Nothobranchius furzeri: one gene and its partner. Each later gene encodes a partner of the first gene's protein in a complex. Links are inferred from orthologs where the notes say so. Each region holds a gene or a part of one and is shown in the gene's direction. Other genes may lie near its edges.

Region 1 (3,807 bases):
GTCTGTCCCTTGCGGAGTTGACGGAGAAGCATAAACCAGGCTTAACTCTTGGAATTAATCATTATGGCCCTTAAAGAGCAAGTCACCCCCAAATCAACTATTTTTTTCCTGATAAACTGTATAAATGCGTGTCTAATCGTGCTGCAGACACGTGTAGTCAGTAGTTTTTGCACTTTAGTGCATTTTAGTAAAAATTTTAATTTTCTGCCTAAAACTGTCAGAGTTGTGCCGTTGTCAGGTAAAAACTCAGCACTGCATTAGAATATAAATCTGCCATTGCTATTGGCTAAGAGGTACCCTAGAATGTTACCTGGTACCATATGATGTCACAATGTCGTTGTGAGCCTGTGTGTGTATTTGTTAGCAGCTCCGCCCTCTCGGTCTGCTAGGCAACAGCATTTGTTGCATTTTTCAAACAGGAAGTAAGAGTTGAGTAAGAATCTGGTAGGGGGTGACTTGCTGTTTAACATATGAAATCGCTGTAACTTGTTAATTTGGCAGACACTGAGCTAAGATTCGATTCCTTGCCTAAAACTTATTCGGAGTGCTAAGAGATCGTGCAAATTCTTGCAGCGTTGACTCATGAGAAAAAGGTGGCGGGCGATTTTAATTCTTTCATTTAACTGATTTTTTACTTCAAGGCAGAGAAATGCCAGAAATTCATGTTGTTTCTTCGTCAGCCTCAGAAACAATAACATCACAGATGAGGGCATCCGAAGACTGACCGCTAAAGTTGTCCACTGTGACAACTTCCAGAAAATTGCGTAAGTCTCCTCAAATTTACGCTGCTGCATCACTTACCCTCCATGACCACCTTGTTTCTGTCTAGTCTCTTCAACAACAGGCTAACTGATGCTAGCACGCTGCACATTTCTCACCTTCTGAAGGCCAAGCAGAGTTTCCTGTCCTTGAGGTCAGCACACGGTCACCAACAACATGAGTGGCACAGTTCAGTCAGACAGATGGAGAATTTCCTTTTCACCCTTTCAGGCTTGGCAACAACAACATCACAGCAGAAGGAGCAAAGCGACTGGCTGAAGGACTGAGACGCAATCATTCGCTGAAGTTTTTAGGGTAAACAGTTTCCTGCGACATGCCATGCTTCATCTTCTGTAAAGGTGGAATAAAATATGTTTTTCTTGCAGCTCCGGCAAGCTACTCTTTTTAAATAGACAGTCCAAAGGTCCAGTCCCCCTTTTCCCTTAAGCCACGCCTACAGAATACAGGAATACGCAATAGTTGTTTCTCAAGGGTTCAGTTTAGAATCGTACAACCGGGGTGTCCCCTAGTCTCTCAAGGGCCACTATCCAGCATATTTTAGTTGTTTCCCTGTTCACCTGATTTTAATCAGCAGGTGATTGAGAGGCTTCACGAGTTGCTGAACAGAGGATTCAACCGCCGAATGAGGCGCATTAAAACAGGAAAACAACTAAAACGTGCTGGGTGGCAGCACTAGACGACTAGGATTCCCCACCCCTGCCGTATGATAGTTTTGTATGCCTGCTAATCTCGTGTGCTGTTTTTATGGTGAAAAACAGAGCAGTTTTTAGCATTCTTAATTTGTTCCCAACTTCAAAACCACAGCAGCTCGGTGCCATCAGCGTTCTGGGAAAAGCCCACAAACAACAGGTGGAAACGTCCAGAACCTGCCTCAAACCTCCTCTCACTCAACTCTTTCCTCTCTGTTGCACCGGTTCTCGATGCACATGTGATACCGAGGAAAATGACTGATGGCTCTGCCGGCTGACATACGACGGGCTGTGTTCACAGACAACAGGTCCGTCACGGGGCTGCTGTTAGCACTGTTGCCTCGCAGCAAGAAGGTTGCAAGTTCAAAACCCGGCAGCAGCCTTTCTGCGTGGAGTTGCGTGTTCTCCTCATTCATGCGTGGGTTTCCTCTGGGTATTCCAGTTTCCCCCACAGATCACAACATGCCCGATAGGTTAACAATTGTGCACCGCTTTGCATAAACGTGTCTGCCAAATAAATAAACATAAACATAAATGTTTCCAAACAAGAATAGAACCCGATTCCAAACAGAACATAAAAACCAACTCCTTAAATTAAATTTGCGAACAATGAAAAGAACAGAAGATTCCGTCTTATACACTAGGCAGCCTGGCTCTGGCTTCGCTTCACGGTCAGCTGCTCCGAGTGGAGAACACACAATTTGCGCACATACATGTAGAGGAATATGTGCAGAAGGAGGATGCACTTTTAATGGATGAATCGGGAACCGATCATTAAGAACGGTACATTCACAATTATTGGATGAGGTTTTACCAAAAATGTACACATCAGAGGCAAATAAATGTATTTCTTTTGCTGACAAAACATCTTTTCTTAGTTGCCACTTGTATGTGAAGAGCATTTCAAGCAATACCGTAATAAAAAGTTCCAGAAAAGCATTCCTACCCACCTTTAGGTGTTTTAAATAATTCCTCCCTTGTCTTTGAAGGCTTTGGGGTAATAAGATAGGAGATGCAGGAGCAGAGGCCATCGCTGGAGCTTTGGAAAACAGCAAATCTCTTGTATGGCTCAGGTAATTTTTGCTTTTAACCTGTGGCATGAGTTTTTTACATGTCAGAATAGCTGCTCCAAACAGATGTTTTCTATTCGATTATCCTACAAGTAATGCAGACATGCATCTGATGCTAGTCTGGTAGGTAACGGTGTAGGCAACGCAGGAGCGCGCGCGCTCTCCGGGATCGTCCGGAACAGCCTGTCGCTGGAGGAGCTGTGGTAGGTCTTTAGCTGCATATTACATTTGTGTTTTCATAAAAGCTATTTTGCTGACCGAGTGAGCTGAGCTGCCTTTGTTTCTCCTGCGAAAGGCTGACACAGAACTGCATCACCAGAGCAGGAGTGGAGTACCTGATTCAAGCCCTGAAGCACAACACTCACATGAAATCCGTTTGGTAGGCCATGCTGTGTGCGAGTGCAACATGTGCTCGCCGGTTGTTTGCATTCAAAATTTTGAGCAATGAGGCAAAAGTCAACGTTATTTTTGGATTTAAACACACATTTCCACTTTTCCATCACTGACTTGTTGATTTATTTTTCTTATATCCTCTGCAGGCTGAAGAACAATGACCTCAGTTCGGAGGAGGTTGAGGAGGTGAAGCTAATCGAACCGAGACTGATTTTTTGATTTGTGTAATCTGTTAAAGAAGTCACTATTTAGTATTGGAAATACTTAGAATAAACATTTTTAAGTGGGAACGGTTATGTTTTATTAGATTCCATATCTACAGGGATACATCTCATGTTGGTGGGAAAAATTGCATCACAACAAATAAATGCTTTCATCTTTTTCTGGGTGGTAATGAAACAGTGACGAAGCTGTTTTTAAAGTAAAAAATGTTCCAATTTAGAAGATTTCATATTTAATTCTTATAATCCACTTTGTTTGAATCTGTTTTCATCATTTTTCTTTTAACCCTCACCCTGACTGATCACACCTCCTCAAGATAAAATCCCATTATTCTAGGGCTGCACAATATATCGTAAATATATCGTCATCGCGAAATCAGCACGCGCAATATGCATATCGCAAAGAACAGATAAATATCATCATGAATGGTCAGCTCAAATGTTTGCGACACATGACGTTTTTTTAACAAATCAAATAGAGCTCTTCACCCATTTGGCCAATCGGGTGGGTTCTCATAGGTTAGATGCCCGCCCCCGAGACGGGCGGCACCTAATTTTGATGGTTAGCAAACACCTGAGTTAGCTTTGCTCTGCTCTTCCTGTTGATTCTGCTTTTCCTGGGATCCACTGATCCTTTTCTTGTTCATTTTCTTT
Region 2 (4,191 bases), on another chromosome or scaffold:
TGGAGGACCTAATGAGACATCAGATAATGAGATATTGTTTCATTGACTTGTTAAGCCTTTTATTACAGTAATCTGTGATTTTTCAACAACAGTAATTGTTGTGAGATGAAGTACCTCTCACATCGGTGTCATGCAGATATCATATCATCTCCGACTCAAACAGAAGAAAATAAAGCTCTCTGGGTGGTAGGGTTTTCATTTATTAGAGTATTCTTGTAAAATGTAAAAAAATGAAACACTAGGATGCTTTAAAAATGTTAAATATTCATGATGTTCGTTCGTTTTGTATCTTTTTGTATCAAACAATATTTAAACTAATTTATATTAGTAATAAACTTGTACATTTTGTACAGATATTTATCCTGACTTTAGCATGAAGATGATGCAATTTAAGGAGAAATATTTTTAAATTCCTGAGATATTGTAAGCCAGTTAGAAATATTTAGCAGGCATTTGTGTACAATGACACTATTGTTGTATTCTGTTGTGTCATTCTGTCAATATGATGTTTTAGCTCATAGCATGCCAGCTTTTGGACATCTTTATTTGTTAGTAAACAGTTTGAGTGAAATATGTCCTTTTATGGGAACTGGGACAATGAGCATTAAACTGGAACTTTCTAAAAAATCTCAGACTTGTTTCTTCACATGTGTGTAACTAGTTTTATCTGAGTTATTTATTTACCTTTATCTTTAAGAATGGTTTATTATGAGGTTCTCTCGACGTTATTATGGCATGGGTACTTTAAGTGCAAGCACATGTTCTGACTGGTGGAAGGTGTGCTAACTCTGTGGTTTGCCCGGGGTTGCCCCATCATGTGGGTCGTTGGGTTCTTGTCACGTGGTTTATAATAGCCCGGTTATTACAGTTTTGGCTCTCATTACTTGTTGCATGGTGTGTCACGTGACTCACCCCGATTTATATGGAATAGAAGATTAAACTAGAGAGGTAGTCGAAATTTAAGGCTACGTTTCTCTTAAGAGAATCCCTAAATTTTATTTGGGATTAAACTAACTAAATCCCAAATGGGAAAGTCTGGGCGAGCGTGCATGTGAATGCAGTTAGTGACTAGTCAGTCAGTTGCTGTTGTTGCGTCATTGGGCAAGGCACTTAACCCACATTGGCTGCTGGAGGCAGCATTTGATCAGATCTTCCAGCAGGGGGAGCTGTTGTCATCAATTTAGCTCGCAGAGAAATGGGGGCAGTGCAGTTTTTTTTTTTTTTTTTTGCCTCCTCTGCTCCGAGTTGTGCAACTAGTTTAACCAGAACCGGAGATAGTATCAGGAATCAGAAATGAAAGCTCGTCACATGTGACTTTCCGGAACTCTGCTCCCCTTCTGTTTGAAGTTGGTGTCGAACCAGGGTCCGCCGGTTCCGAAGACCTGGAAACTTCTGAATGTCGGTACGTATGTTCTTCAGAAAGAGGACAGCGTGAAAGTGTAAGGGTGGAAATTTAAAGGCATTTTGTGGATTAGGATTATTAGATATGAGTGTGTGGATTATAATCTACAGGACACGTGAAACATATCAGCACCAAAACAGATTTATTGCTGATTCTGAATGTAATTTTATTTCCTCACTGCTGGGCTTTTAGTGATTAACTACTCATTTAGGTCTGATTACAGTAACTACCATGAGCTTTGACACATGGTTGCCAGGTGGGATTACGTTTCCTGCAGCAGTGTTTAATATTAGATGAGAATCAGGCACCTGAGGAGTGCTCCCACATCCCAGTAACACTGGTTTCTTGACTGGTCACACACAATACTGGAGGGGCTGGGCCAATGAGAAAATAGCTTTTGAAGCTAAGTATAGCAGACAGAAGAAAATCAGCAGTAAAAAAGTGGCTCCCCTCTGTGACAATGGAGACATTTCCCACTGTGATGGATAGTAATCCCAATGAAGACGAGGTATAACAGGCTTTTAAAAGCTGTAATTGCTCAGCTGTAAATGGCAAGCCCAGGAACAATAACAGAGCTGCAATTAGCCTCAAATGATGGAATTATTATTATTGTTATTTTTGTATATAAGATGCTTTTATGCTGTTAGAGACCAACAAGATATGTGAAAATCAATCTGACAGCTCCCATCATGAAATGATTGGCCTCAACGTGAGCAGAAAAGCAGAAAAAATAAGGAGAAAACAAGATTTGTGTATTTTTTATATTCAAACATAAATTTTATTTTATTTTCCTGTGTGAGGCCTTAGAGCCAATGAAGTGTTGAATTTACTTAAGTTATGTCAGCTGATTCCCCTTAACCAGTATCAAATGTAAAGGGTAAAATACATTGTTATGTGACGTTAAATTAAAGTAAATGTATATTTTTCTTTGCATTGAAAGAGTAGGTTCAGTGAGAAGACATGTTTTTGAAATATTATTGTTCATCCTAAGTTTAACATGCTTAACCTGCTTACCTGTCGGCGTTAATACAAAGACACGTCCCTTCACGCTCATGCGAGGGTGATGTGTTGGTGGTTCCCCGTGCTACGTATAGATCACGAGGAGGTTGTGCGGTTGCTGTTTTGTCACCTACACTCTGGAGTGAACTGCATTTGAATATTAGACAGGTGCCATCATTGCAGTTTTGTAAGTCATACTTGAAGACGCACTACTGTGTACAAGCCTTTCCAGCACTGGGATCTGTAACATTGCACTAATTTCTTTGAGGACCTTTTTGTGGTTTTTATTTTTTGTATTTTTTTTACAGTTTTTATTGTCTTTTTTATTGACTTTATTGTATGTTCTTATTGGATGCTCTTTTTTTTTCAAATGTTTGTGTTCAGCATCTTGGGCTTCTGCTCAGGTAGTGGAAGGTGCTTAAATAAATGTAATAAATGAAAATGACACAAAACATGCAGGTTTATCGTGATAGTAATCTTCTACCCCTATTTCCTGCAATATCCGCTGAAAGAAAATAGACGTGAAAGCAATCGAGTCAGAAAAAGCCACACAGATGTACGTTACACTGTAAATTGGCATTTATGGACTCACCCACCTTGGATCATAACGGGGAAAGCTGTTGTTTATTTAGCATCCAGGAGAGAGCAGAGCATATCTTGGCTAGTCAACGCTAGCTGTTAGCATTAGCATCTCTACCACACGGCATGACTCCTCCAGGCTTGTGTTATTTGTGGGGATAAAACATCAACGTTGCAGAGCAAACAGTGTCAGTGGTAGAGTCGCATTGCTGTTAGCCAATCAGAGGCGAGATGTCTGAATATCAGGAAATAAGATACCAAATCCTGTCGTGTTCGGCTCAACTCTGATCTGGCTCATTTCTAGGTGGCAGATAGTTGTTAGTTAGTGGCAGAGGAGTTAAAGTAGCTTTCCAGAGTTTTCTCCTTTCAGAAATTATGTATGATTGATCAGAAATCTGTAAAAGTGATTATCTTATCATGTACTGTGAAATAATGTAAGCAATACTTCTTTTTTTTGGCCTAAGCACGCCCCCTGCCCCGCAGAGCTCCATGCAATAGGAAACTGAGCGCCAACCAGAACTAACCAATAGCGTTAGACTACCGCTTCAATGCTTCAAATTTAAGGAATACCTCGGCTGATGCAGAGTCGATGAACTTTTCACGAAAAAGTAAGCCTTCAAAATATAAATATATGAAAACACAACATGACACGAGAATAATACTTGTAAAACAACGTGTTTTAGCTCTGTTTGTCGGCTACAGAAGCACATTTATAAACAAGAAACGCGAAGTCGCCATCTTAATAAAACGGATCGGCAGACTTTTTGTGTGATATACTGGTCAGCCACTAGATGGTGCCATCGGATAAGAGAAATACTCCATGAAGATACTTTTAAGTGGCAACCCCGTAATCGGAAGGTTGCAGGTGTGAGCCCCAGTCAGTCAGTTGCTGTTGTTGTGTCCTTGGGCAAGGCACTTAACCCACATTGGCTGCTGGAGGCAGATGGAGGGACTGGTGGCACCAGCGTTCAGCAGCCTCGCCTCTGTCAGTGTGTCCTAGGATAGCTGTGACCAAATTGGATCACCACCTCCAGAGTGTAAACATGTGCGTGCATGGGTGAATGACCAGTTGTATTGTACAGCACCTTGGGGGGGGGGGGGGGGGGGGGGTTTGTAGGACCTTAGGGGACACTATGTAATAAGTACAGGCTGTTTATCATTTTTTCTTCTTCCTGCCTCAGAATCTGTGTCAAAGTTGAGCGTCATCCTTA

The links.
Region 2: nod2 (region 1) and map3k20a share a complex: the UniProt entries of both Homo sapiens proteins name them as parts of the signaling complex. The link is inferred for Nothobranchius furzeri from reciprocal best matches to the Homo sapiens genes NOD2 and MAP3K20.

The regions. Positions count from the first base shown.
Region 1 is NC_091749.1:70,967,681-70,971,487, forward strand, and holds the end of nod2 (nucleotide-binding oligomerization domain-containing protein 2), read left to right. Parts: intron 1-680; coding exon 681-764; intron 765-829; coding exon 830-913; intron 914-990; coding exon 991-1,074; intron 1,075-2,458; coding exon 2,459-2,542; intron 2,543-2,658; coding exon 2,659-2,742; intron 2,743-2,834; coding exon 2,835-2,918; intron 2,919-3,078; coding exon 3,079-3,151; 3' UTR 3,152-3,222; downstream 3,223-3,807. UniProt on the Homo sapiens protein: Pattern recognition receptor (PRR) that detects bacterial peptidoglycan fragments and other danger signals and plays an important role in gastrointestinal immunity.
Region 2 is NC_091754.1:20,955,565-20,959,755, forward strand, and holds the start of map3k20a (mitogen-activated protein kinase kinase kinase 20), read left to right. Parts: upstream 1-1,252; 5' UTR 1,253-1,402; intron 1,403-4,161; 5' UTR 4,162-4,191. UniProt on the Homo sapiens protein: Stress-activated component of a protein kinase signal transduction cascade that promotes programmed cell death in response to various stress, such as ribosomal stress, osmotic shock and ionizing radiation.